4 linked regions of the Tamandua tetradactyla genome follow. The protein of the gene in region 2 interacts with the protein of the main gene of each other region in a pairwise test. Links are inferred from orthologs where the notes say so. Each region holds a gene or a part of one and is shown on either strand. Other genes may lie near its edges. The genes, in order: CINP, REL, GLYCTK and CGGBP1.

The links.
Region 1: the proteins of REL (region 2) and CINP interact in binary tests that used the Homo sapiens proteins (3 or more experiments, as listed by UniProt). The two-hybrid records come from large-scale screens. The link is inferred for Tamandua tetradactyla from reciprocal best matches to the Homo sapiens genes REL and CINP.
Region 3: the proteins of REL (region 2) and GLYCTK interact in binary tests that used the Homo sapiens proteins (3 or more experiments, as listed by UniProt). The two-hybrid records come from large-scale screens. The link is inferred for Tamandua tetradactyla from reciprocal best matches to the Homo sapiens genes REL and GLYCTK.
Region 4: the proteins of REL (region 2) and CGGBP1 interact in binary tests that used the Homo sapiens proteins (3 or more experiments, as listed by UniProt). The link is inferred for Tamandua tetradactyla from reciprocal best matches to the Homo sapiens genes REL and CGGBP1.

The regions. Positions count from the first base shown.
Region 1 is NC_135338.1:63,945,590-63,952,423, forward strand, and holds the start of CINP (cyclin-dependent kinase 2-interacting protein), read right to left. Parts: upstream 3,024-6,834; 5' UTR 2,962-3,023; coding exon 2,913-2,961; intron 2,545-2,912; exon of another isoform or gene 2,356-2,544; intron 2,344-2,355; exon of another isoform or gene 2,258-2,343; coding exon of another isoform or gene 2,239-2,257; intron 1,597-2,238; exon of another isoform or gene 1,545-1,596; coding exon of another isoform or gene 1,511-1,544; intron 1-1,510. UniProt on the Homo sapiens protein: Component of the DNA replication complex, which interacts with two kinases, CDK2 and CDC7, thereby providing a functional and physical link between CDK2 and CDC7 during firing of the origins of replication.
Region 2 is NC_135343.1:33,244,007-33,251,220, reverse strand, and holds the start of REL (proto-oncogene c-Rel), read right to left. Parts: upstream 3,022-7,214; 5' UTR 1-3,021. UniProt on the Homo sapiens protein: Proto-oncogene that may play a role in differentiation and lymphopoiesis.
Region 3 is NC_135341.1:33,580,764-33,588,268, forward strand, and holds the start of GLYCTK (glycerate kinase), read right to left. Parts: upstream 3,017-7,505; 5' UTR 2,797-3,016; intron 2,758-2,796; exon of another isoform or gene 2,356-2,757; intron 2,350-2,355; exon of another isoform or gene 2,324-2,349; coding exon of another isoform or gene 2,208-2,323; intron 2,202-2,207; exon of another isoform or gene 822-2,201; intron 811-821; exon of another isoform or gene 369-810; intron 293-368; 5' UTR 254-292; coding exon 1-253.
Region 4 is NC_135336.1:58,633,246-58,640,885, forward strand, and holds the start of CGGBP1 (CGG triplet repeat-binding protein 1), read left to right. Parts: upstream 1-4,619; 5' UTR 4,620-4,825; intron 4,826-4,938; exon of another isoform or gene 4,939-5,075; intron 5,076-5,081; exon of another isoform or gene 5,082-5,193; intron 5,194-5,409; 5' UTR 5,410-5,613; intron 5,614-7,549; 5' UTR 7,550-7,568; coding exon 7,569-7,640. Other genes in the region: ZNF654 (zinc finger protein 654), read right to left, coding at 4,065-4,253. UniProt on the Homo sapiens protein: Binds to nonmethylated 5'-d(CGG)(n)-3' trinucleotide repeats in the FMR1 promoter. May play a role in regulating FMR1 promoter.

The sequences.
Region 1 (6,834 bases), on a different chromosome or scaffold from region 2:
GTAGACTTAGCTTCTCCTTTGCAGGAATAAGTTACAAAGGGGCAAGCCCCAAGATCAAGGGCTTGGCCTATTAAACAGGTTGTCCCCACTACTTGCAAGAATATCAGGAATTCCCTAGGTGGGGAAGTTTAACCTTTCTACCTTTCTTCCCAAGGGGGCTTAGTAAATACTTTTCTATTGTCTGCCCGAGGTGGGGAAGTTTAACATTTCTACTTTTCTCCCCTTCCAGGGGACTGAGCAAATACTTTTTTATTGCTTTCCCAAATTACTCTGGGATGTATTGGAGCATCACACTGACCTGTACCAACCAACAAGATCTCACTCCCTATTTAAGATTCTGTATAATTATGGTGCTCAAATTAACTGACCACACAAGTTAAACTAGATAGTGGGCTACCAAAAATATAAATTTTGCACAAAACAAACATCTCTTCCTTTGGTCTCACACACGCTTTGAGGTTTTAAAATACAGACCATATCATTCTTTACCCTGTCTTCTGGTTTACCTTAGTCCTATCCAGATCAGCTTCATTTATATCTCTAGTTGAAGTCTCTTCACATTTTTAACTTTTTAAAAAATTGCTGTATGGAGGAATGCTAACTTTCATAGTTTCAGGGCTCTGAGTCTCAGTTGCTACACAAATACCTGAAGTTCTAGGGAATGACCAGGTTATACACAGATAGTTCAGAATCTTAGAATTTAGTAATAACAGTTATTACTCTGGAATAGATGTGACTGCTATAAGAGCTTACAATCTAGGAACCTTTAAAACAGGCCCCAACCTGACAACTCATACTCTCGTCTTCTATTCTCAAAGTCTGTATATTCTAGTTAGTCCATATGAGTGAGGCGTGATAATATTTGTCGTTTTGTTTCTGACATTTCGTTCAGTATATGTCCTCAAGATCCTAGTTGTATGCCTCAGAACTTCATTACTTCTTGCATCGGCTCAATAGTCCCTTGTGTGTATACACCACAGTTCCCCTTCCATTCCAGTAGACGTACCCTTAGGCCACCTCCATCCATTGTAAATTGAGAACACTGCTGCCATAAACACCAGTAGGCAACTGTCCATTTCTGCCCCAACTCTCAGTACCTCCAAGTACAGACCTAGTAACGGGTTGTAGGATCATACGGCAACCCCTCCCTTAGCCTCCTGTGGAGTCACTACACTGTCCAGCCCCTCGGCTTCCCTACCAACAGGGACTAGGTACCTCATGCTCTCCACATTTTCTCCAGCACTTCTATCTCTGTTCATTTTAAACAGTTTTAGTCGCACATCATACAATACAACCTAAGTAAATATGCCTTTGCCATGACAATCCGGACATTTCCTTTTCTTACACAGAAAACCCCATACCCCTCCCCATGCCCCCCCCCCCCCCCACTTACTGACATCTAGTTTGGGCAATTACATTCCATGAAAGCATATTACAATGTTACTGTTAAATATAGACCCTAATTTGCATTGACAATATTTTTTTCCTGTATACATCCCAATTTCAACACCTTGCAATGTTGACATCCATTTGTTCCCTCTCATGTAAAAGCGTTTTTATATTTGTACATTTAATCACCATCACTGTCCAGTCTAGGCATCGCTAGGTTATACTGACTCAGTCTTTATCCTCTATCTTTCCTTCTGGTGTCATACGTGGGGGTGCTCATCTTATTCATCCTCTGTCTGCTCAAACCCAGCACATATTCAGGAGTTGAAAACAAAGCATGGTTCTTGAATTTAAGACACTTATGGGCTAGTAAGGAAACGGAGACAAGTAATCAGTCATAGTAACGAGCGGAGTGAGGCACAGCATAATGGTTAACAGCCCGTCCCACCTGTAGTTCAGGGGCTTAAGTGAGGCTCAAGAGAGCGGATTTACGCCCTTAGAACACTCGCTGGGTGCCAGTCTTCATTACTAGCAGAAAAATCTGTGGCAGGAATTCTGAGGGGAGTTCGGGGATTTCAGGAGGAGCTAGGCAGGGAAGGCTCAGCACCCAATGTGCTTTGCCGACACTAAATCATAACGAGGATAATAACGATTTAAGTATTAAGAACCATGCTCGCCCTTCGTATACATCGCGTTTGACTGTCACTATACAAAAAAACTGAGTCCTCGCAGACTGAGCACGAGCCCCTTTTAACCCGAAGGGAGCTTCCCAGCCTCGGTTCTAGCCCCCGGCCCCGGCCCTAACACCCGGAGCCTCCCCGCCGCGGGAAACACGCGCGTCTCACTTACCTTCCATTCCCGCGGACATCCCGAGAAGACCGAAAGCTGGTCCCCAGAAATCCGCAACGTCACTTCCGCTCTTCCCAACCCGCCTCTGCTGGTGGCTCTGCCTTTCTAGCCAGCCAGCTGCCGCGGGGCTGTGCGGGCTGTGTTGCCCTGGGAACGGGCTCCCGGCAGCCCCCGCGGCCCGGATCTGTCCCCGCCTCCTCCGGCTAGGCCGGGCCGACGAGTACCGAGGGGCTACTGTGGGAGGTGAGTCTGGCGACGCCGCTGGCGGCCCCAACGCCTGGCCGCGCGCTCTTTCCTCGCCTCCAGGTGCTGCCGCTTACGCCTTCCCGGGCCACCCTTCCCTCGCCTAGCCCCCCGGGGTCTCCGTTACCAGTCTCACCCGCACGCGCAGACGGAGGACCAGAGGCTATAGCACCCGAGTGCGGCGCTAGCTGCCTGGCGCCAAGCCCGCGGGTCCCAAGCTGGTCCTCAGGCCCCCGCCTCGTTCGCCGCGTCTGCCGGTGCTCAGCCCATTTCCGCCCCTCTCTGCCCCACCCTCGCGCCCCTTCTGCGCGGCAGGCTCGGGGCGCCGGGCGCCTGTGGCTTGTGGGTGACGGTACTTCTGTCCTCCGGACCCTCGCTGCCGCCTGCCTACCTCTGCCCACCCGCGCCTGGCATTAGGCCTTGACATGTACCCAGTAGGTGCTCGTTCCGAGGATAACTCCCGCCTCTCTCACTCGGCATTTTGTCCTGAGAGTTGAACTAGGTAGCGAGGGTTATAGAATGGGGTACCCCGGAGTCATACCGTGGCTCAGGGCGGAGCTCTGCTTCTGTGTTCTGCGGGCACGCGGCATCAACACACTGAGCTTTAGGTTCGTCGTCACTAGAACGGGGAGAATAGTTTCTACCTCTGGGCTGGTGGGAGATTAAATGAATGTTTAACTGTAAAATGCTAGGCAGGGGACCTGGCAGGCGCTGCTTTTCAATAAATGATAGCCAGCCCCATGTTGGAACCCACATCTGGGCTCTCCTGTCCTCCTTCGCTTGCCTCCCTACTTTTTTTTTTTTTAATGTATTTTCTGACTACTCATTAGTTTCTCCTTCTCCACTTGCACTTCTTTTCCCTGGCCTTTGTCCTTCCTCTCTTTCTCAGCAAGAGTCCGAAATTTTATTTTGTATTGCTGTTCTGTCCCATTTCTTAGCAGAATGTGGGGTACCTACCCGGTGCACCCTTGCCTCATCTACTGAGTGGTCAGTTGCACATGGGGTTGACTGCTTTCTTGCAGCCAGTTATGGGAAGTCCTCAAGCCCAAATCCCAGGCATTGGCAGAATCGAATAAAGCCACTGTCGTCCCTTGTGACTAGAGATAGAAAGGACTGTCATCTCCATTTTACTGATGATGAAACTGAAGCTTAGGGAGGGAGTGTCACTTGCCCACTTATGCAAGGCTTTTTGTGCTTTCTGGTACCCAGCTATGGTGCACCTTGCTGAGCCTCCCACCTTGCTTCTTTTGGTAACCAACTTACATCCCCTTCTGAGCATTAATTCAGAAATTAGTTGTTTGGGATCCATTGTGTGACAGGCCCTGGGGCCAGTCTCAAGAGATGCTGTTGTGAACCAAACAGAGACCTGCCCTCTGGGAGCAGTATAACCTCTGAGCTTTCAAACCAGAGTACTAGCAGGTCCAAGTCTAGGGCATGTGCTACCTGAGTTCTCAAAAATGGCTGGGCAGAGAGGTGGGGAAGATGGCCTAAAAAGTAGCTGCTTCTGAAGGTATGACAGATAAATAGCTTTTGTTAGGTTTAAGTTATTTTGTAGCCACATTATCTTTTAATAGAAACTGGCTCCTACTAGATTTGGTTTCCTGAAGTTATACTTCAAGTTTGAGGAGGGTCTGATTTCATATTAGCCTCTACTCTGTATATAGTTTCTACAGAATGTCTACTGGAACTTAGTGGAAAAGAAGGAAGGAAACATATCGGGCAGAGCAGTTAACTGAACTTGGAAAAGTAAGAACCGGATCAGGAAACTGATGATGAATGAAAATAAGCTTTTGTGTCAAGCAAGGAAGGATTTCTAGTCAGAGTGATGCACAGGAAACTTGAATTCAAGAGGGAGTAATTAATCGATTTTGTGAATTGAGCTATTTAAAGTAAGAATTGATTTTTTTTTAACTTTTTAAATTGTATAATATAACATATATACAAAGCAAAGAAAGAAAAAGCAATAGTTTTCAAAGCACTCTTCAGCAAGTAGTTACAGAACAGATCCCAGAGGTTGTCATGGGCTACTATTCCATCATCTCAGATTTTTCCTTCTAGCTACTCCAGAACATTGGAGGCTAGAAGGAATAAATATTTTTTTTATCATCACAATCAACTTGCATGTGTGTGTGTGTCAAAAAGGCATATGTACAAAAACAATAAATTTCAAAGCACAGTGCAACAATTAGTTGTACAACAAATTTCAGAGTTTGGGATGGGTTTCAGTTCCACAATTTTAGATTTTTACTTCCAACTGCTCTGAGGTACTGGAGACTAAAAGAAATACCAGTTTAATGATTCAGCAGTCAAACTCATTGGTTAAACCATACCTTCTCTGGATAATCCACCATCTCCTTTGATCTTTCTGTCCCACTGTTTAGGGGTATTTGGGCTATGGCCGTTCTAACTTTTTCATGTTGAAAGAGGCTGTCAGTAATATGGGGTAGGGAGATGGAATAAGCTGATGTTCTGGAGGGGCTGACCCCTCTAGGTTTCAGCACTTATCTGGTCCAGGGACCCATTGGAGGTTGTAGGTTTCTGGAAAGTTACCCTAGCGCATAGAACCTTTGTAGAATCTTATATAATACCCTAGGTGTTCTTTAGGATTGGCAGGAATGGTTTTGATTGGGGTTTGGCAAGTTATGATAGGTAGCAATGTCTCACTGAAGTTTGCATAATAGTGACCTCCAGAGTAACCTCTTGACTTTATTTGAGGTCTCTTAGCCACTGAAACCTTATTTGTTACACTTCTTTTCCCCCTTTTCGTTAGGCTGGCATTGTTGATACCATGGTGCCAGGGCCAGGCTCATACTTAGGAATCTTTCTCACGCCTCCAGGGAGGCATTCACCCCTGGAAGTCATGTCCCACGTAGTGGGGAAGGCAATGATTTCACTTGCAGAGTTGGGCTTAGAGTGAGGCCACATCTGAGCAACAAAAGAGGTCTTCTTAGGCATACCTATAGGTAGGCTAAGCTTCTCTGCTACCTACATAAGCTTTACAAGAGTAAGCCTCAAGATCAAGGTCTTGGCCTATTGATTTGGGTGTCCCTAATATTTGACACAGTATCAGGGATTCCCCAGTGGTAAAGTGTAATTGTTCCATATTTTTTCTCTTATCCCTCAAGAGACTTTACTAATACTTTTTGATTATCTGTTTGATATATTCTAGGATATATCCAGGCATGATATTAAGATATACAGGATTAAAGCCCTTCATTCTTTTTTTTTTTTTTTTTTTTTTTTTTTAAAGACAGAGAAGGAAGGAAGGATGGAAGGAAGGAAGGGAGGAAGAAAGGGAAACATCTTTAAACATTTTCTTGTTTTATTATATTTTGTTTGTTTGTTTGTTTTTTACATGGGCTGGGGCCGGGAATCGAACCGGGGTCCTCCGGCATGGCAGGCAAGCACTCTTGCCCGCTGAGCCACCGCGGCCCGCCCCCTTCATTCTTTTTCTGGGCTTCCTGTATTTCAGTAGTTTAAATGAGCTGTCCACATAGGTTGAGTTGGATTATGTGACACAGAAAAATTTAGATTCTGGACAAAATAAATCTTTCTTCCTTTGGTCCCAAAGAGTAGGTGAGGTTCTAAAATAGAATCAGTGTCTTCCTTACCCCTGTGTTCTGAATCACCTTAATCCCAACCTGATTGGCTTTGTTCTTATCTCTAAATACCAGGTTATACATATGTAAAACAGCTTCTCAAAATCCGGAAATAATAATTACCACTTTGGACTAAATGTGACTGCTATAAGAGCTTACAATCTAGTCCTCTATTTTTTTTATAAGCATTTTCTAAAGGATACCATACAATAATTGCTCTTTTGCTTCTGCTTTATTTTGCCTCGCCTAGTGTCGCACAGGTTCATTCACAATGTTGCCCGCCTCAAAACTTCACTCTTTTTTGTGGCAGCACAATATTCATTCATATGTATACACCATCATACTTCTCAGTGCATCCTTCAGCCACTACATTCATTAGGCATCACGTATAATGCCCAAAGTCCACAGTCCATCAACACTTTCAATTTTAGATAATTTCATTATTCTCAAGAGAAAGATACCAAATAAACACACCCTCACCAAATAGGAAATCTAAACCTCCCCTTAATTCTTGTCCCTCCCCCCATTATTTACCCCTGGTATTGCTGTGGTACTGCTGATGTTTTCCTTTTAAACATAACCCATAGCATGTAATAGCACTTTTCCCCCTGTGCCCTGAACTTGAATACTGTTTGTACAAGAATCATACCTTTGAAGTAGTTTATGCAAGAACTTATTTATTTATAAATATTTGTAGTATTAATAAGTGAAACACATAGGTCTTTGCAACCCCTCTCAGTCTTGTTCACTTTCA
Region 2 (7,214 bases):
GATTTAAAATTTTAAATTCAGAGTACTCAGTTAAATATGTATTTCAGATAGATAACAGATAAATATTTAGTATAAGTATGTCTCATAAAATATTTGGGACATAGTTATACTAAGAAATTATTTGCTGTTTATCTGAAATTTAACTTTATCTGTATTTTATCTGACAACCCTATTCCTGATCCCTAATAGCTTGATTTCTTACATAAATGTAAAATTCAGACACGGCTTAGATGAGAACTCAAGAAAGTAGGAAGATATGATAAAAGTCACGTGTCTACAAACATAACCATTTGCAGAGAACACAGATGAAAGTTAGAACAAAAGGAAAATCTGAGTCCTTTAAGTTCTATTAGAGAAAGACACCACCCTAGATGTTCCTAATTATGATTCATCTTATTCCTCCCCAGTTATTTCATTCACTCTTTCCCTCCACTCTGTCTATCATATATCACCTTAATTCTTTTATATCATTTATCTCTACCCTTCCACATGTTGCATTTCTGAAACAATATTTATGTTTACATAGACAGTTTTTTACTTAAAAAAACAATAATTTGCTTTAGCTATCCATTCTTAACTTCCAGCTCTAGCATTAAAAATAAGTTGAATCATATCTACAACCCAAGAGGAAAAAAAAGTTGCCTTGAAATTCATACTATAATCAAAGAGTTGGTAAAGTAGTACAGTTTACAGAAACAATTTCTTTGTGTAGTTCTTTCATTATGTGACATAGCAAAACTTTACTAAGGAAATTTTTTAATAAAAAAATTATCTAAATTTTAAAACATGTTTTATTAAAGATGGTGCTAGTTATTAGTAAACAGAGCCACAAGCCACACAAAGACAATTTGCTTCTTTTACTGGAACAATGAAAAGTTTTGAATTCACACATAAAATAGCTAATTTTACTTGTATTCAATAGAAAAAGAATGATAAATACAAAAAAAGTAATAATTGTCTAATATACATATCTTAGACAGTTTTAGGAACATTTTTCTTCACAATGCTATTCTAATTGTGTCCACAGACTGGAATCAAGGCTTTGTGGCTGTTTTGCTTTTTTTCAAAGCATTGAAAAACAGTTACTAGAGACAGAGCTGAAACCCTGAATAATTAACCTGATGACTGATCTGAACAAAATTCAGAATCACATACACTACCAAAGTCCCAGTTACTCTATCTTCCTCATGACACTCAACTAATTTTGCTTATGAGATTATGATCTATGGTACTTTTACATTATACAGAGCATATATTTCAATTACAAAAATTTGTTTACATATGACATCCGGTAAGGCCTAGCAGTTTTCAAAACACTGGATTACATTTTTAAACAACTTGCAAAATTTTAAATAATCCCATTTTAATGCAACTCTTGAAAAAAAGCAAAAAAAAGAAGAAAATCACCCTTCAACTTTCAAATTCCTCCCTGCCCCTCCAATTTAGGTAATTCTTAGTCCTCATAAAAGCAGATATAGTATCATTAAAAAGATATAGTATCATTAAAAAGCACACTTTTAAATCATGTGGTCTTATAATACTCTATATAAAAATGGCCAATTCTTTTCTCTTTTGAAAGAATTAGAAGTATTACAATACATTCATGCAATAAATTAATAAAGTTTGATTAAAACGACAGCCGCCTGACATTCTTTACTTGCAACGATCACCATTCTTTACTACTTTCATACAAAATCTCTTTTTTGATAACCAATAAATTAGCCAAACACTTAAAGTTATCTTTGTACTTTCAGTCTAAATGTGCTTTGAATTTATGAACTTAGAAGAATATCTGAAAGTTGGGGTCACTGAAGTGGGTAAAGGGAAAGTTGAAATATTTTAAACTATACTTGTATTCTCACATGAAAACCACAAAGACAAATTGAAATCAAATGTCATGTGAAACACCCCTATTTCCTTTTCAGCCTACCGTAGTATTTAAGCATTGTTCAGTTCAACCCTTTTACAAGGTCCCTTATACTTTCTACTTCCTCTTCTCTAGGAGACATCAGCCTTCTACTGAGGGTCACTGAAACAAAGTTGGGAGAATCGGAGGGGGGGAGGGTGTCGAGCATAAACAAGCCCCCTCCTCTCCAGCCTCCCAGTACAGTATTAACTGTAGTTTTAGGCTTCCCAGCGTCTTCTCAGGTGCTCCCTCGGCCTGGAAAGCGACCCTGCCCCCATCCACCGGACCAAAATCTTGGCAAAGGTCCAATTCTAACGCGGTCTACTTAATCTATCCCCTAGATTATTCGGCAGACTTGTAGATTTGAGACTCCCTTCCTTGTCCGTAAACTGTTTCCTACTAAACTCATTTCCTCCGAAACAAGAGTTTCAAACATTTACTAACTGGAAATAAACATTTACATAAGTGATATAAAGTTGTTTTTACTCCTATCCATATCATGGAAGCACAAGTACTATAAAAATCCTCTTTTCCCCTTACTTTCAATAAAGGGCGGGGGGGGGGGCAACTCGGTAAACTAAAAGCCTACTTTATTTCACAGTAAAAATCATCCCCACGTTGTTGAAGCAACATCTCCACTTAGGACAAATACCACTGACAAGTTTTAAAGCCTCGCCGCATATTGTACAACTGTCAGCACAACTGGGTTCACCTCTCGACATCTGAAATTTATTCCCGGCTCTGAAGGTTCCTCATTCCTGTTCTAAAATCTAACACTACCATTTCAGTACAAATCAGTTTTTAATGCCAGCACGACGCGTCCTCCTTGATTTAGGGTCTTCCTTCCCTAATTCTGAAATCAAGCCGTTAGGAATTTCTAAGGTTCCGGCTATTATAATAGTATCAAATTACAGAGCGTGGCTTTGATTTTGCACGCAAACCCTGCACCAGGAAACTTTTTTAAACGCTTGACAATCTGCCAGGTAAGGCGATTTTTTTTAAAGACAGAATGAGCTACAACCCAAACTCAGGAAACCAAGAGGCTCCCGCACCCTCCACCTCATTAAGCCCCCACCGTCAGAGGAGGAAGACCCCCCGGCCGAGCTCCTTCCCCTGAGCCCTTGCCCCGACATCCCGGCCCGGCCTCGCGCCACGGCCCTCGGTCCCCCTTGCCTGAAACACTCACCCGAAGCCATGGCTCCGCTCACCGCGCCTACCCGCAGGCAACCCCAAGCGTCCGGGCAGGAGGCCGCCGAAGCCAATCAGCCCGTCAGTCAGTCAGGCGACCGCGGAACCTCTGCCGGCGGGACCCCCAGTTCGCCGGACCACCCCCGGACCCTCCTCTTCTTCCCGCCCTCCCTTGAGTTTGCGGCTCACACCTTCCCACCCCCTTGATTCTCGCGCTCCGGGTCACCCAGCGTCGCCGGTCCTGGGTGCGGGAGCCAGGGGCAGGGGGCGGAGCGCGATGAGAGCCGAGAACCAGCCGGGCCGAGGAGGCGGACAGCAGGGCGGGAGGGGGATTTCCCGCGGCTGACGTCGGCCCCTCGCCACCGCCTTCCCCCGGGAGCCGGGGGCAGGGCGTTCCCGCGGCGAGCGCGCGCTCCGCCCCGCCCCTGCCACCCGCGCCCGCTCCCCGCCCCCGCGCGTGCGTCCTCCTTCTGCAGCGGGCTCGGGACTTGCGTCGCGGGAGCCCCGGATCCCGGAATGCAGAATCTTTGGGAGCGCAGGGAACGACGGGAGCCAGGAGGTGACGGTCTCGAGCGTGCGGAAGCCGCGGGCTCCGGAGAAATCCCCCTCCTCCAGATTGTTCTCCTCTGCCTGGTTTAAAGTTCAGGAGCGGGTGGGACGAGGCGGTGACGTCGAGAGGGCCGGCCGCCGGGGAGCCCTTCGGGGCGGGGCGGGCGGCGAAGTGGGGCCGGCCCACCTGAGCTGGGCGGAGGACGGTCCGGGGTTTTTGATAGGTGGTTCCCCCTCTTCCCGATTTCGCACATGCAAATCGCTGCCCCCGCGCCGGCGGGCGTCCGGGTGCGCGCAGTAGCGCAAGTGCGGAAGCGGCCGTCGCCTGTGTGCAGTATTTGTAATTCACGTATTTGCATACGGAGACCCTCACCTTCTGATTCTGCCCGTTATCTTTAAAATGCGCGGGCTCTGTTAACTTTACGTATTTTACCTACTAAAACTTTTTAAACGCGAAAGATGCGCACTGAGAATTCGTGCCATGGGTGACATGAATTGCCTCATCGTTACGCAGTGTGTTCAGGTTCAGTGAGGTAAGTGCAATGAAGTGTCACAATATCCTGGGATTTCACCGATACCCACGAGGAATGGGAGAATGGAAGAACATTTAGACTGTTATCTAATATAATTTTGTTTCCTTCACTTGTGTCAGATGCTTTACTTACCTCACCTGTGAATATTTTATTACCCTCATTTTTTATATGAGGTCATCGGAATGCAGAGAAGATACGTGAAGTTGCCCAAATGTCAGAATGCTGTTAAAAGGAAAAATAGAATTTAAACCCAAAGCTCCAGACTTTTTCCACAACCCTTTACTTCCTCAAATAAGAATAGAGAGAGAATAGGGAACATCAGCCTGCCACACAAGAGCCTTCAATTGGAGAACCCTGTTGGGGACAGAACTAAAAATAAAATCTGCCGATTCCAAAAATACCATCTTCACAAAATGTAGACAATAATGAAACAATTTTATTGAATAGGCGTTAACTCATTCTGTGATACACATCACAGGCAACATCACAGACAAACATCTAAAGAGATTATAAAAGCAAAATGAAGGAATTCATCCTTTTGTAGAGCCAGGCAGATAGCAATCCTTGCAGACCTCCTAATTTTCTTTATCCAAAGGAAAATTTAATTAAAGTTAAAAGTTTATTACTCTAAAGCTGATAGGCAGCTAGATGTTGGGGATTGTAGAGAATATATATGTGTGTGTGTGTGCTTGAGGGCTTACAGTTCTGGATACTGTTCATTCAGTTCAACAAATATCTGCTCTGTGCCAGGTGCACTTCTCGGTTGTAGCACGTACACTAGTAAACACGTGAAGTAAAATCTCTGGCTTCATGTAGCTTATGTCCTACATAAAAGACAACACGCATGTAAGAATGTAAGATCATTTCAAATACTGTTGTTAAAATATTTTACTTTATTGTTATAAAGGAAGTGGGGCAATGAGGTAGAAGATGACAGTAAGAGGGATGCACCGAGGAGGTTATGTTTGAGCTCAGTCCTCAGTGGTATAAAAGGCAGCCACAGAAAGGTTTCAGGGAAAGAACATTACAGATAGAAGAACAGCAAATGTCAAGTTCTTGAGAGAGGAAAGAGCTTATCTGAGGGACTGAAAAAAGGGCCAATAGGACATGAACAAAATGAAAGGTTGGAGTGGTAAGCAGGGCTAGATCATGTACCGCTTTGTAGACCATCATAAGGAGGTTGCATTATATCCCAGTTGCACACAAAAAGCTGCTGGAGAGTTTTAAGCACATCATTAATTTATAGTGACATTTTGTGCTGTTTATTTTTGCTGATGTATTAAACTGTTAGGATACATTAAATAGGGGCAAGAGTAAAGGGAGAGTAATTAGGAAGCTGTTGCAACAGTTTAAGTCAGAAGTGAAGTATGTGGACCAGTGTTTTAGCAGAGAAGATAATGAAGAGAGGCATTTTACAAAGTGAGATAGCCAAGTGGCTAATCATATAAAAGATGGCCTGCATCATTTGTCATCCAGGAAATGTACATAAAAAATGCATATTCCCAACAGAAGTAAGTGCATTACCATTAGATGAACAATAATTTTTAAGGCATGTTTATTCATAGTAACCAAAGATTGGAAGCAACCCAAATATTCATCAGCATTAGAATGGATCGATAAGCTGCCTATATTCATGCCATGGAATTCTCCCCTATAATAAAAAAAGAACATCCTATTGCTACACAAGAAAATGAATGAGTCTCACAAACATAAGAAATGGAAAATCCATACATAATAAATGGACAATTCATACATAAAACAGTACATCTATATGAATTCATTCAGTATGTTCTGTTCAATGTATTTGTAGTTGAAAACAGATGAAATGAAATTATGGTGATAGAGGTCAGAATATAGGTCCGTGGGGGTGGATATTGACTAGAAGTGGACCTGAGGAAACCTGTATTACTGGGAATGTTCTATATCTTGATCTGCTTGGTGGGTTACACATATTTAAAAATTCATTGAGCTCATGCTAGGACTTGTGCCCTTATGTATTTATACTGCAATTAAAAAAAAGTTGTAAGAGATTTTTGAATGTCTTTCCCCATCAAGACCATACACCCTGCACAGCCTCACCTTGAAGACTCTGCTCACCACCCACTCTTCTTCACCTCCTAAAACACACACTTTTTACTTAGTCCATCCCTCCCCATCCTTCAAGACTTGGCATATAGAAAGCCTTTCTAGATTCCCCTGAGAAATCGACTGCCCCTTCTCTGTGCAAAATAACAACCAGCAAATATTTATCATTTTGTTTACCACACTGAATTACAGTTACTTAGTTGTGTACCTGGATCCCACACTAAACTATAAAATCTCAAAAGTAGGGACTCACTTATTCCCAGTGGCAGCCACTCAGTAAATATCTGTTGAATAAATTATCCTTTGTTCCTCAGGCCTGCTTGGCTTATTGAATAGCCCACTCTGGTGAGCCTTTGGTGCCTGATACTTTGGTTCACTCCTTTGAGCCTATGGAAAACCAGAAAGTTTGATTTTATTCTGAAACTTTGTTATAACTGTAACTACTTTGTTCTGTAACTACTTGTTGAAGAGTGCTTTGAAGATTATTGCTTTTTTCTTTCTTTGCTCTGTATATGTGGTATATTATACAGTAAAAGTTTAAAAACAAAAAACTCAAGAACCAAGGTAATAGAAGAGGGCTAGGAAACAATGGATAGTGTCAGGTGAGATTAGGGAAATACTTGGAGATGGCAGGGGAAGCCCCAGGTTAATTATGGGTTACCAAGGAATCCACATTAGATGGCAGGGTGGACAGGAAATGGCAGAAAGGAAATGGCATGTCACCCTGCCAGGTGAACATCAGGACTCAGGGGGCCACAATTTAGTGATTAAAATGAAAACCCAACATCCTATCTAGATGGCATCTGTTTTTCACCACTAGGTGAGAACAAGCACAACCCTGGAGTTGGATCGGAGACCTTTCTTTTGAGCAGAGTATATAGTTCTTCTGTTAGGTGTGGTGTACTCCTTTCCCAGGTGAAAGCTGCTTGTGAAGGAGGACTGCTTAGTGATCA
Region 3 (7,505 bases), on a different chromosome or scaffold from region 2:
CAACCAGGTAGAGGTTTTGTCGCAGTTGGAAGCTCCGGTCCCGCACCTTCAGATGTCCGCTGCTAGGGTCCAAGGCAAGGACCCGATGCAGCATGGGGCCCGGCAGCACAGCACTCACAGCACTCTCAAACAGTTTCCGTGCATGCTCTGCCAGGGCCATGCGACTGGCCAGCCGGACCACAGAGCCTCCCCAGGGTAGCGGGCACAAGGGGGGTCTGGCCAGGCGGGACACAACCTGTAGGGCTGCCGCCATGCCTTGCTGTTCTCAGCACTGCCTGGCACCCATGGCTGCCTAGGGAGAAGAAAGCACCAGTAAGGGCCACTGCAAGGCCAAAAACAGGAAACCCCCACCCCTACCTTACAATTACCCGTCTGAAGTTTCAGGGCTGGGAGACCCCACAGCTGCTGTTGAAGGCATGGGCCATTCGCTAGCCCAAGGAGACTTCCTAAGGCCAGCAGCTGCCTGGTCTTACTCCAGTCAGAGCCCAGCCCTGCCACCCAACCTTGTCTTCCTCTTCTGCAGACCACATGCCAGGCCTCTGGACACTTTGCACTGAGTCCAAAGTTTCTGTTAGCTGAGCCCTCTCCTACGTCACCCCCTCTGGCTGGGAGTTAATAATCCACAGAGGGAGCAATCCCTATCAGTAGGCTCCTCCCTACCCCTTTTCCACCTCCTGCACTTCTGAGCCCTCACCCAGAGGCAACGCCTCTTCCTGGCACTCCTTCCTTGCCTCTTTACCACCTCTTCCGCCAGGAGATTGTTGGTTGTCCCACCGACTAACCCTGAGTCCAGTGACTTCCAGCCTTCTCTATTTCATTACCTCAAGAAATGGGATGGAGAGCCTGGGAAAGCTGTGTCTGTGTGGAGAGGCTTCAGGCTCACCAGGGTACTACCAGAACAGGCCCAGAGCAAATCCTCAGGACATGCAGCCTTAAAAATCCCAAAGCTCTGGCCAGTCTAGCTAGAATTCAGGTTCAAACCATAAATGGCAGCCAAATCTGGTTCAGGGTGGAACCTTATGGAAGTTCCCAGGCACGACATGAAGCCATGTATTGGGGAGCTAAGACAGGAAAGGATGCTCTTCCACCCACATAACTAGCCAGACCCACTTCTGCCAAGAACCCCCGCGTTGGCTGCAAGATTATAAAACAAGTCCTGGGTCACATCTTCCATAGTGATGAGAGTCCAGCAGCTGGAGCAGGCAAGCCAGGATTTCACAGCTGGGCCCAAACAGTCATCTTCCCCATTAGACAACACAAAAGCTAGAAATGCCCTGGGGTGACAGTCAGGAGATGGTGAGGGGTTTCCAGACAACAAAGCCCCAAAGGCATATACTTTAGTAAAAGCCTATGGTAAATGCTGCAAGCTAATTTTATCAGCAAGCATGGATTGAGCAGGGGAAGGAAGCTGGGAATTGGGGTTCTAGCTTTACTATAGGTTTTCTGAATGGCTAGGAAAGCTCCATATCTCTTATTAGGTCTTATCTGCAAAATAAGTTAGGTTGAAACTAAAACTAATGCTCTTCCCCTGACACCCTAGAGCTTCTAACAGTGTTCACTGTAACACTGGAAACCTGGACCCCAAAGGCCAGTTTACCTCACACACAAATAGCCTGGCAACTTCTAGCCCTGTGCAATTTAGCCTGCATAGTTCTTAGCTTTCCCATCAGCAAAAGAAGACCAGCCCTACTGGATTTCTATTCCAAAAGGGAATACAGAGAGTCCTGGCACGGGGGACTCTTAAAATGGTGTCCAGCTTTTGCTAGAGGAACACCTAGCCTCACCCAATTGGAAAGGGGCTAAAGCATCTTAGCATCTAGCAATACTTGGTTTTGAGCATGTAGGCAAATTCTGTAATTTGTTCCCAAAGATCTAGAGGACCCCAGCCTTGCTACTGGATGCCAGAGCCTAGAGCAGGGAGGCATTCAAGGCTAGAGTTGCCAGACAGAATACAGGACGTCCAGTTAAATTTGAATTTCAAATGAACAACGAATCGTTGTAGGATAGGTATGAGATATACTTATACTGAAAAATTCCTCGATTTTTTTAAATTCAAATTTAACTGGACATCGTGTATTTATATTTGCTAAATTTAAGAACCCTACAAGACGTCCTTAAACTTCGGGCCCATACAGTGCGAGGGCCGGAAATCATAAGAAAGCCTCGACTTCGCCACCAAGTAGGATGGAGCCATTTCCGGCTTTCACCTGCCTGTCTCGGGCCCCAGAGGTGACGTCACCCTCCAGCTCGGGCTTCTGGCCTGCCAAGAAAATGGCTCCCGCGGGACGTCGGGTGGTGACAGGAGGTAAGAGACCTCTGCCATTCAGAGCCCCGTCACCCAACCCCAGGACTCACTTCCGGGGACCACGAGAACCCTCACTGCGCAGACTCACAGCCCAGCAGCTTCCCGCGCTGGAGGCCGGAAGTACTTGCGGGTAGCGGAATCCGGAAGTGAGGGGGAGGTGCCGGGTGCCAGCTAGGCTGTGCTCGGGAAGCTGTTGGAACTCTTGGGTCTCGGTCAGGGTAGTCGTGACTACGTGGGGTGCTGCCTAGAGGCCTAGAAGCCTCACTTTCTTCATCTCTACAATGGGACTAACAATCCCCGCCTGACCGGATTGGTGTGGTCCGTCCGTCCTTTATCCTATAGGATCCAATCAGAAGGTAAAGACATGCCGAGCCCTGTTAGATGCAAGGCACTGGGCTGAGCAAGCGGGTTGACGATCACTCCCTCTCTGGAACCAACCCCTTCCGGGGCTGGATTAAGTCGTGGCCCTACCCCTATTGGCCCTTCCTCACCGTGACAATCCCACAACTCGCTGGTTCCCCCTAAAGTGCCACCAAATACAGTTCTGGCTCAACAAGAGTTCTGTTCCGTGATCCTCAAATTACTACATGTTTCGTGACTGCGAATGTCCCTGGTCTCGCCATCTGTGCTCTCAGTCTACGCACTGAGCCGGGCTTGATGTCTTCCCATATTCAAAAGGCAAGTCCCGACCAGACTCCAAGGCACAGAAGAGTACTGTCTCTATTTAACTGACGTGTTATCGGGAAGATGGAATTTGGGGTTACGTCACACATGATACTGCAGATTTCTGAAACTCTTATTGAAATGTTTCTCTCCACCCTGCTCCATCTGGCAGCTGCAGCATTTTTCCGTTGTTCTCCAGACCATGTCTTGTCATGAACTACTCTCCCCCCTCACCCAGCCTCCTGCCCTTCCCAGCTCTCCCAGTTGCGTTTTTCTTTGCCTTTATAATAAAGGATATTTTATTTTCTACCAGTCTCTCCTCATTGCTTGCCCACCCATCAGCAGAACAAGGTGCCTTCAGAAGGACCTGGTCTCTTTAGAAATGGGGGAGATTATAAATACTTAAAAATTCATAGCTTTTTCTTACTTATAGTAAGCTGTCTTCATCCATTTATTCATTCCTCCCATCATTCAACAGACATTTCCTGAGTGCCTCTGTGTAGGTTAAATGCCAAATACTGGGATATTATTACTTGGGAAATTCACTCTGCTTTTGTGATTACTTTCCCCCATTGGGAGTGTAAATTTGAACACCTCTTTCATTTAGTGCCAGAAGCACTCATAAAACAAACACCATTTACTTTGCCAGTGCTATTCCATCAAAGTGTAAGTAGGAAACTAATTGTACCTATTTTTTTAAAGCCCCTACCCCTGCAGCTACTCACAAGATGGCTTTAACAACAGCAAGGGTTAAGATACCCGCTAGACTTGTGAGCTCCTGGAAAGTGGTGACATGGTTTAATTTGTATTTACATTTCTGTTCGTCTGCATAGGACCAGGCACAAATAGAAGTTGGCTTTTTTTTTTTTTAAATGAATGAATAGGGGAATAGTGAAGTGCTTGGCTGCAAAGTGCTGCAGACCCTGGGTAGGAACAATTCTACAAAATGAAGAGAAATGGTGCTGGGTAGAATCAGAAAGCTTCATGAAGGAGTGGAATTTAGGTCTGAGAAAACTATTAGACTTATCAGAATGCTTACACATATCTTGATAGTGGATATGAATAGTCTACAGTCTTTTATAAAAAGTGTAATTTAGCAGTAAGTGTCAATATCAGGCAATTTCACTCCAAAGAAATAATAAGGCACGTACACAAAGATAGAAATGAAGAGCTAATATTCAGCCCAGAAATTTGACGACTATAAAACAATCTAAATATCCATTGATAAGATAATTTATACAAATAAATTATAGTACTTCTAAACATATTAAAATAATGTCATCCCTAATATATTAAGACTGCATATAAATTATTTTAGTTTTTGAGATGCTATTTTATGACTCAAAGTTTATGTAGAATATAAGCTTTCCCCATTATAAAAGCAAGCAGATGGAAAGAAGGCAATGGAGGTGGGGTATGCTATTCATATAGCCTACAAAGGAGGGTTACTGAATGTGTCTGTTTAGATTATGTTTTCATTTAAATGGTCCATTTTAAAGCATAGGGAGAGGTTGTTCTTGGATGATGCTGAGCAGTCAGTGACCTGGGGAAGGTGGGAATAGTGGTACCCAACTCAACTAACAATGCTGAATCTCTGAAACTCACCATGGGTCAAATACTTGGCCTCTGAAACTCTCAAATCTGCCCTGTCCAAGCTCAAGGGGTGGACATCAGAAGTAGTGATGAATGCAAATTTGGGAGAATAGTACTTAATTTTGGACTTCCCAGCCTGGAACTTCCCTGTAAACAAATACTGCTTATTACGGAAGCAGATTGCGGGTGATAGCCATTTGAGGTTTTAGGTGCCTGGAGAGGTACAAGGTGTTAGTTCGCTTCATCACCATAGCAGAGCTGACATAGTTATATCCATCCTGATGTCCTTGAACACCAAACCAGGGAATTTCATTCAGTGTGGTGATCAACAGTGCTGTTCATCAAGTAAGTTCAGTTCACCCCCTTTCCAGGCGTGTAGTAGGGTAACCGAGAAATTGGGATTTGAGGGATGCTTTTGATTACTGAATTATTGTATAGATGCTTCTTTTACTTTCCAGTATATTAGAGTAGAAAGAGGGAAATACCTGAAATCTTTGAATTGTAATCCAGCTGCCTTGACCTTTAATAATGATTGTAAAGCCTTTATCTTGTGCCCTTGTGATTGTAAAAACCTTGTGACTAACCTTCACTTGTACCCATTTATCCAGTTTTTCGACTTTGGAGTGTGTGATCACTAAAGACAGCCCCTAATGTTTATGAAGGGTCCTGGGTCAGCCCAGAACTAACCCATCCCAAGTCCAAAATTATCTTGATAACCAAAACTAGATCTAACCAAAATGGGCCTACCTGACGTGTGTAGCAGTTAGACTTTAACCTACAAGTCACCTATACCTCATTATAATACTAAAAATCACATCCGTCATATTGACTGCCATTTTCTCACATATGTCTTGTGAATAAGCATGTAATCAATCTGCACATGCTCAATAATCAGATCACCTCTAGTTAAATCATCTGGGGCCATCAAGCTCATTATCCTAAAACCTGTCAATCTTTTAATACTATAGAACTATCAGGATTACTGCAGTTGGGAGAGACAGATTTTTGGGCTGACGGGCCATCTGATTTCCTGCTACGTGCCTAGCAATAAACTTTTTCACTCTTTGAAACCCTGGTGTCTCTGGAACTGGTCATTTGAGCGCACAGGCAAGAATCTACCGTGTGCTCTGGTAACAGCAGGATTGTACTTCTTGACCCTCTTGTGGTTGAGGGGGATGATGTGACTAGTCCTGACCAATGAGTTGTGAGTGGAAGTGGTGTGAGTCATTTCTGGGTATTTAATTGCCCATTTGAGACCATCCTGAGCATTTTTCCCCTTGAACCTGGCAATTATCAACATTCAAGTTGGTGGCATCTCCCTCAACCTGAGACCCTGAGTGACGTGATGATAACACCCACCCTTCCAACCTATTATGTGAATATAGCAAAAGTGGGAAATAAGCCTTTGATGTTTTAAGTCCCTAAAATATGCGAGTTTGTGTTATTGCACCATAACCTGGCCTATCCCGGTTGATAAACTCACTTTATCCTCTTGACACATAGTTTCAAAAATTCCTTCTATAGCTTAGAAGCTTGATCTACTTTTGTTGCTATGAGGTCATCCATGAAGTATTTGTTCTCATCGGCATTCATCTTTCCAGACGTATCAACAGGTCTTGGAATACACACAGCATTGATCCCAGCATACTGTTTAATGAAGTACAGAACAACGTGGCAGAGATAAAGAACACTTTGCTCTTTATCTACAAACTGTCAACTGAGAAATAACAAACTAAGCTGCAAGGCAACAAAGGCATTTATTTGGGAATTTTAGAATAGCAATTTGGGGGAGCACAGATTTAGGTAGCAACCAGGATCCTGTCCCTCTTGGAATTTCCAGGCAAGGGTGTTTAAAGAAAAAGTTTAAATTGTTTGTGGTTGGTGGCTATTTGGGGGTATTCCAGTAATCCATCAGGTTCGATAGTTAACTGAGTTACTTATTTTGTGGTTTGTTTTATAGATGGACCTCTTTGGGGCTTGAGGAACGTTGTTGCTTGAGGCTTTGAATACTTTGGCAGTGTATGTTATTTGGTTGGTATTTGCCTTAGAGTAATCTCCAGAATGAACTCTGACTCCATTTTCTTTTTAAACATTCTTTATTGTGAAATACAACATATATACAAAAAAGCAATAAATTTCAAAGTACATTGTAACAAGTAGTTATAGAACAGATTTCAGAGTTTGGTATGGGTTATGGTTCCATAGTTTTAGGTTTTTCCTTCTAGCTGCTCCCAGACACTAGAGACTAAAAGAAATATCAATATGATTCAGCAGTCATACTCACTGGTTAAATACTATCTTCTCTTTTATAACTCCTCCTTCTCCTTTGATCCTTCTCCCAATCTTTAGGGGTATTTGGGCTCTGCCCATTCTAACTTTTTCATGTTGAAAAGGGGTGTAGATAATATGGGATGGGGGATAGAATTAGTTGATGTTCTTGGAGAGGCTGGCCCCTCTGGGTTTCAGGACTTATCTGGCCTAGGAACCCATCTGGAGGTTGTAGGTTTCTGGAAAGTCAACTTAGTATGTGAAACATTTGTAAACTCTCAGATAGAGCCCTAAGTGTTCTTTAGGGTTAACAGGAATGATGTTGGTTGGGGTTTAGCAAACTGTGGTAATTAGCAGTATCTAGGTGAAGGTTGAGTAAGAGTAGCCTCCAGAATAGCCTCTGGACTCTATTTGAACTCTCTTAGCTATTGATACTTATTGTGTTACATTTCTTTTCCTCCTTTGGGTCAGGAAGGCATTGTCAATCCCATGGTACCAGGGCCAGGCTCATCCCTGGGAGTCACGTCCCACATTGTCAGGGAGACCTCCACTCCTGGATGTCTAACTCCATTTTAAATCTCTTAGCCATAATAACTCTATTTTTTTTTTTTTTTTTTTTTTTTTTACTTTTTACAAAACCAAGGAGAGTCCGGTGCACTGATTAATGCCACAAAGC
Region 4 (7,640 bases), on a different chromosome or scaffold from region 2:
AAACATATTGCTGTTTATTGCTTCTTAGGCACCTATTATAGTGTTTAGTATGCAATAATTGTTTTAAAATTATTTCAGGATTATTAAATAATTTTTTGCCATTTTTAAGAGCATAGTAGGATCTCTCAACTTTGGCACTACTGATTTTGGACCATGACAATTTGTTGTGGGTGATGTCCTATGGATTATAACATGCTCTGTAGCATCCCTGGCCTTTACCAATTAGGTATCAGCATTGAAAATGCCTCCAGATATTGCCAAGTGTCCCCTACAGTGAAAAAATCTCCTCCAGTTGAGAACTCCTGGCACAGAGATAACGTAGTTGTTTTCCAAATCATTTAGTGCTTCACCAGGAACATGAGGCTTTTCTAGCAAATTAACAGAAATTTAGAATTGTTGAACATTCTAAATTTTCTCTAAAGTTAGGATACAAACTCTAAGCAATTTATAGATTAAATTATCTCTAATTTTCCTCTTAAACCCTGAGAATATTTCTCATAGTAGAAACAGAAATAACTTCTACTATTTATGCCCCTTTCTATGTGCTAAGTACAGTACTAGTACTTTATATTCATTCTCTAATTTTATACTCATAATATCCTCTTGGAATGGTAATTTAACCCACTGCAATAAGAAATAATTTAAAGTTCTATTTCAATTAAGATATCAAGTGTTTCCACAAATACTTATTTATCACTCACTAAATTCCTTCTCGTGCTAAACTAAGAAGAAACTCACCAAGATTGCAATCAATTTATTATATAAAAAAATTAAATATATTTAGTGGTAAAATAAGTTGAATTATTCCAGCTTTCAGGAACTGCAGAAACGTTCACTAACAGGTCGAAAAGACAATAATATTTTTTTTCTGAGGCATAATGAAAGAGTACTTTTTAAACTTTTTCATCCATGATTCCTTGACAATTTCCAGCAACTTTGTTTCCCATTCACCAGCTTCTCCTAATTTTCCCCATAATTAGGCCAAAGAAAAATCTGATTTATGTTTGAGGATTTATTGTAATTTTAGTATGCCTTTCAGTAGAAACTGAAAGCCAGGTTCAAACTTAATCATCCACCTACCAGAAATTAGCTGGATTACTTTTCAACTTCAACTATTTAATATGCATAATAAAATATACCTCAAGGTTTTGCTTCATGGATTAAATGACCCTAAGAGTTGGTAGGCCTTCAATAAAAGTTATTTCCCCGTTCCTTTCCTCCTGGAAGCAAAATTAAATATCAATTAAGGGCCAATTCTACTAAGGATGGTTGAGACTGCTAATAAAAGTCAAGGAAGAATGTGTTAGGGACAACTAGCCCAACATTATTGACACTATGTAACTTTTGGACAGCAGCACTTCAATGTTCCAAATCCATCTTTCAAAAACCAGCTGAAATCTTATTCTGTTAGCCTGAAATTTTATAATTACTGGTAATATTTCTCAAATAGAAAAGTATATCATCAAACACATGCACACTATATCACTTATTTATTGTCTTCTGTTTTACTTTTCTTTGTGGTAAAAGACATTAGAAGCTCTCTTGAAAAGATGTGCTTCTTCCTCTTTCCCTTCACCTACCTACCTAACTGCCAAGAAATTTTGATTCATATTTCCCTCACAAAAGGAGGAAAATAAATTTGAGCCATTCATCTCAACTCCACAAGACTGTGCGTATAATTCATACATTTAGTTAACAGTCACCTACCCAAGTGCATATTATGTACTTTATGGATTACTCACAATTAAAGTCATTTTTACTAATGAATGCAAGTTACTTCATATTACCTTCAGTAAATATTAGGAAAACAAATCTTAAAATTAAACTCTTTGACTGGAAATTATATTATATAATCCACTGCTCCCCTTATTGGCAAATAACACTGAGAATCACTGTAATAGAATTTTGATAATCAGTGAGTAAAACTCCACTTAATGCAAGTGATTTTTTATTCCAACTAAAAGCTTTAAGACAAAAAAGGAGTTCACAAAATCTGCTTGCAAGGTGGTACCAGGACAGGAACCTAAGAATAAATGTATTGGTAAACTAGAATATTATAAAATTTGTAATGAGGTTTCAGGTAAAAATTGGTAGCATGAAAGTATGTTAATACAACACCCATAATTAGGTGACATAAAATAGAAGTTTTTAAAGTGCTTCTTGCTTTCATATCCTTGTATATTAGGAGTATGGAAATGTATACATTATCAGTTTCATTTGCTCTTAAAAACTGATTTTAAGAAACAATAAGAATAGTTAAAAGTTCTGCAAAATTTTCTAGTCCTCAAATAAAATCTCAAATTCTACCTCAATTAAGTACTATCTGATCAATAAATGAACAAGGCTAGATGCAACCAAAAACAATTTGGTCATTAACGATATATAAATCAAAATAAAGAAAAAAGAAAAAATACTTTCTATCAATCAATATATTAAAAAGATCAATTGTAACCCAATCCTCAGTTTAAATTTCCTGTAGATACTGAGCCTACCGATAGTATAGTTTTTAGAAATGAAACATATAGTTAGCAAACAAGTGTTCTAAAGACACTGAACCTCTATATCTAGCAAATGCCATATACCAAAAATAAATATATTTTCAAGAAAGTCACTAAATACATGGCAATGCCAATGAAAACTGGCACTCCTTCCAGATCAAAACAATTTCCACCTTCAAACCAACTTTTCTTTGACACTGGAAAAAAAATTAAATCGAGACAAATTAAAGCATTAAAAACTTACCTGAAACTGGCAACTCCATGCTTTTTCTTTCAATGCTTGGAAGGGCATAAAATCAAATGCCAGTAAAATGTTCACTTCTTATTAACTTTAATTCCTACTTATTACCAGAATGAAATGAACAGCCAACTGATGCAAACCCTATGCATATTCACTCATTTAACTATTATCCCTATTTGACAGAGAAGAAACTCAGTCACAGCAAGGTTAATTAAAATGATCGAGATCACACAGTTAGGAAGTGGTGGAACCAGGATTTTGACCACGGTGCATCCAAGATAATAAATATAAAAAGCAGAGGTGGAAGGGATGAGAGGATGAAAAGCCGTGTTTAAAAATTTTTCCCACATGTTTGCAAAAGAGGGTTGTGTATGAAAACAAAACATTTAAACTATAAATGTAAATAGATATGTATGCAGTTTACACAAATTTTGCCTCCAGACAAGCACTCTGGTACAGCTATAATGCATTATTCAAACACTTTAAACCATAACAAATCGTAGAGGCAGTCGACTAAGTAAAGGAAATAATTTGCTGACAGTGTTTGGACATTATATTTCACAAGCTACATGAAATACACTGTAATTTAAAGGATAAAGGGAGGTGGAATTGTGTTCCGAGCAGCAACTTAAGAAAAACGACTTTCCTCTAAGAACAGTTAATTAAAAGAGAAAGTGTGTGTGTGTTGGGGAAATGGGTAAGAAAATAAAAGATGGCAATTACACTGCCTCAACACTTTCCTCCACCCCCAAAAAAGTAACTAAACTACTGTGGGTCAGCGCTAAAGCCAACTGGAGTCAAAGTGGCCCAGCGGGAAATTGAGACAGAATGACAGGAGACCCTAATAGAGGGGGAGGGGAGGCGATGACAGGAGAGGGGGCGGTAGAGCGATGGCATGCCTCCCATTCCCGAAAAAGAGAATGGGGGGCAAGGGGCGGAGAAGGGGAGACAGGAAATTTTACTAGGATTCAAAAGAAGGTGAGACAAACAGGGTAAGAAACACAAGAAAGGCGGGACCCTCGGGCAGGAAAGGTCTGTTCGGTGGTAAGGAAGGCTTGTCAGTACGGACCTTTCCTGCCAGCTGACCCTCCCACCCGTCCCTAACCTCCGACAAACCCTCACTTTCTCAGCAACTCTAAACCTGCGGGTCACCCCCACCCCCCACTCCAAGCCCGCTAGGTGGAGGGTGAGCTTCACCCTCACCCTCATGTTGGGGTGGAAAAGCAAGCACCCGACACGGCCCACCCTGGGGACACGAAGTCCCGAAGACGCAAGGAGGCCCAGAACTGGGGGTGACCAGACAGGGCGGCTGGAGGACGCCTCACCTGACAGAAGCGTCGGCAGTAATCCCGACTGCTGATCCCGCCGCCGCAGCCGCCGTCACCGCCGCCGCCAGCGCCGCCTCCGCCGTCGCCCGCAGCTTTAAGCCCCACAGGGCTAGGCGGAGACTCCACAATGGCCACGAGCTCCTCTCCGAGGCGTTCGGCCTCTTGGTCGCTCTCTTCCTCCGCCATGAGGCTCTCGCTGCCCAGCGCGTACCAACCCCTGCGCCGCCGCCGCCGCCGCCGCCGCCGCCGCCGTAGCTGCCTTGACTAACCTCCTCCTCCTCCTCCTCCTCCTCCTCCTCCTCTCCCTCCTCCCCCTCCTCCTCTTCTAGTTCCTCCCCCTTCTCTCCGCCTCAGCCGGACAGGGGCCTCTCGGCTGGGCTCTACTTCCGGCTCCGCCCACCCACGCCCCCAGTTGTCATTGGGCTATTTTAGCCGCCAGTCATGTTTATGCCCGCCCTCCTATGGCCATTGGTCAAACCAGCCGTCTGTTTGATAGGTTCACTGTCCGTTGGTCAATACTGCTCGGCGGTTGCTGGGGACCGCCTACTCGGCTCTGCCATAGGCGGTGCAGGAGGACGGGGCGCGGTAGGGGATACGGCGGCCGCCGCGGGGCTGGACCGAGGAACGGCGACGACGGCGGCGACGGCGACTGGATTTCTTCCTCCTTCACGCTCTTGTCCTTTTCTTCCTCCTTTCTTTTTCGGCTTGGTCTCGTCCACTTCCCCTAGCGGCGACCCAGATCCTACGGTACCGAGGAGGTGGGGGAGATTGAGGGTGGGCCCGGCCGTTGGTGCAGGCTGTGGGCCAGGGGCCTTCCGTCCTGAAACGGGAGTCGGGGGCGGGGCCGTGGCGCGGTTGTCGGCGGGAGGAAGAGGGAGGAGACGGAAGCCTGTCAGCGGCCGCCTCCGCCCGGAGCCTGCAACCTCCTCCCTTGAGAGCCGCCAACTCCGCTGCCGACTTCGCGGGCCCAGGGACCCGGCCCTGCCCAGCTAGCGGAGCCTGGGCAATGTAGGGCTCGCGTGCTGGGCTCGGCGCGGAAAGAGGGAGTTCAGACGCCCGGGAACGTGCCGCGCCTCGCCTTTCGCTCCCCGCCCCCCGAACCTTGGGCCCTGGGAAGCGCGAGGAGGTGCAGAAGGGGACAGACAACTGAGAAAGGGACAGGAGGAGATGGGGTGGGGATAGTGAGTTAAGCTTTGAGATATGGGTTTGTGATATGGAGTTACCTTAAGAGAGCGATTTTTGAGACACCTGCCGGGTGGCTGTTGTTGACATACTTGTTCATCTTTTCTTTCTCATCCTACCCCCATTTTTTTTCTTTCCATTTGATTTTCCTGTTTTACAGTAAAGGCATGACTTTCCGGCATCGCAGGGAAAATAGGGTGCAAGCCCAGAAACTATTTCCCCACCACCACTTGTTGAAAAACTGATTTGGAGGCATCTCCGAGTTTGAACAATCAGAAAGTGCCAGGATTTCAGGCGACTCTGGTTTTGCGCTGGAGATCCTTCACTACTAAGTGTCAATACGAAAAAACTGGAAACTAATCCGGTAAAACGTTTAAACTTGGAAACGTGAAATGAGTGTTTTATTTCTTTTTTTCTTTCTTTTTATTTAATCCAGTAAATGATTTCTCCTTCTCTTTTGCTATATAAATCCTGCTCTCAACTTTTTAACTTCGTTTGTTTTTTAAAAAATCTTTATTGAAAATATTTTTGTTCTTTGGAGCTGTAAACCTCAGCGTCTGTTGGGTCGGTTTATTGTCTCTGCAGTGGTACAGACCTTTTGAAAGTTACAAGACATTAGAGCATAGGTCTTTCACCTTAGTACAAGTGATTGAGCATTTTACGCTTCAGAGAATTATGTACTTGTTTATTGTTTTAAAGTTTGAAATTCAAATATTTAAAGACAGAAGAACTTTCAGATAGAAAGGAAGGTTTAGGTATTACTAGACAAATATTTAATGTTTTTCATAACTAGTTTAGAATCATTAATTATTCATTATTGGGACTTAATGCCATAGGAGTATAAAACACATACCTTTAAAGTACAAACATGTAATGATAGTTGATAATTCACTTAATTCTGGGCAAGAGTAATAGATGTCTTACTACCATTGTAAACCCTTGGCCTAACACAGGATTGGCACGTGAGAATGACATAAAATTTTTTTTAATGAAAGAAAGAAGTATGATTAAATCTGAGGTATCTGTGTGAATATTCAACTTTCATGTTATCCAGCTATTAATTTTCTAATATGGGTTTATGGAATACTCTGTTGTTTCTGATTAAACTTACAAAGCGTAGTTCTTTGAGCACACTTTAGAAGTTTTCTCTAACATATTTATACAGAATAGAATTTATCTTGAATTCCTTCAAATTAATTTTCATTTCTTAAATATAGTTTATCTTAAATGTTTATCACTTAGCCTAAAAGCATGGCGCCAGAGAAAACAAAGACTTACCAATACTGATTTGACCATTTGTCATTAACTGACATGTATTTATTATCTCAAGTTTTCAGTGCCCTAACAATATTATTTTGGCACTTAGTCCAGTTATAAAAGTTTGTTGTTAGGACAAATTGAGAAATTTATCAAGATGCTACTGAGTTAGATATTCGGACAAATTTGAAGATGTTCATATACTTATATGAGCAAGTTTTGATTGAGCATTTTCATATGCTGGGCACTATGTTGAGTTCTCAATTTTGTACTTACTGGTTAGTAAGTGAAATAAATGTTAACAAGTGTAATTATTAGTCTTTAATGAAAGAAAGAAGTAAAAAAGTGTTAGAGGAAAAGCACTTCGTATATCTTAAATATCACCTTTTGGAAAAGTTAGGAAAGTATACATGCCTTAAAAAATAACTTACTTTGACTCTATTTGTTGACTTGAAAATTTAATGCCGCTGTTGCTGCTGTTAATTGTATTTGCTCTTTGTTCTTTCTTAGTTTTTTTGTTGTTGTTGTTCTCAGAACAATTTAGAAATTCTCTTCATTTTCATAGAGAATTATACCAGTTTAGTGGCCCACCTGTTTGAATGTACTTTGTACACAATTCCCTACAATTTTGTTCTTAACCTCATTTGTCCCAGAATTGTGAAGGGACAGAAACTCTTTCAAACTTGAATGCATATCAAATTGGATAAGATTAACATAATTAATACCCCAAATGTTGGCTTTTGATTAGGTTTTCCCAAAAGATAGCAATATCTGGGATAATTTGAGTTCTTGTTTCATTGTTCTAATTTACTTGAATTACATGAAAATTAAGGAATGGACCTAGTTGTTATTTTAGTAACTTGTTCTGGTTTTGCCTTCCCTTAAATTTTCCAGTTAATTTATGACTTAATGGACACACATTCTGCTGATTTAATTTGTTTGAAGTCTTTAATCTTAGCTTTTTATACCTGCCTCACATTGTTAATTACTTCTGGAATTAACTGTCATAGTAATACTTGTCTTTGTTTCTTTTGTCTTCAAAGAGCCTTATTCAAAGTCAGAATGGAACGATTTGTAGTAACAGCACCACCTGCTCGAAACCGTTCTAAGACTGCTTTGTATGTGACTCCCCTG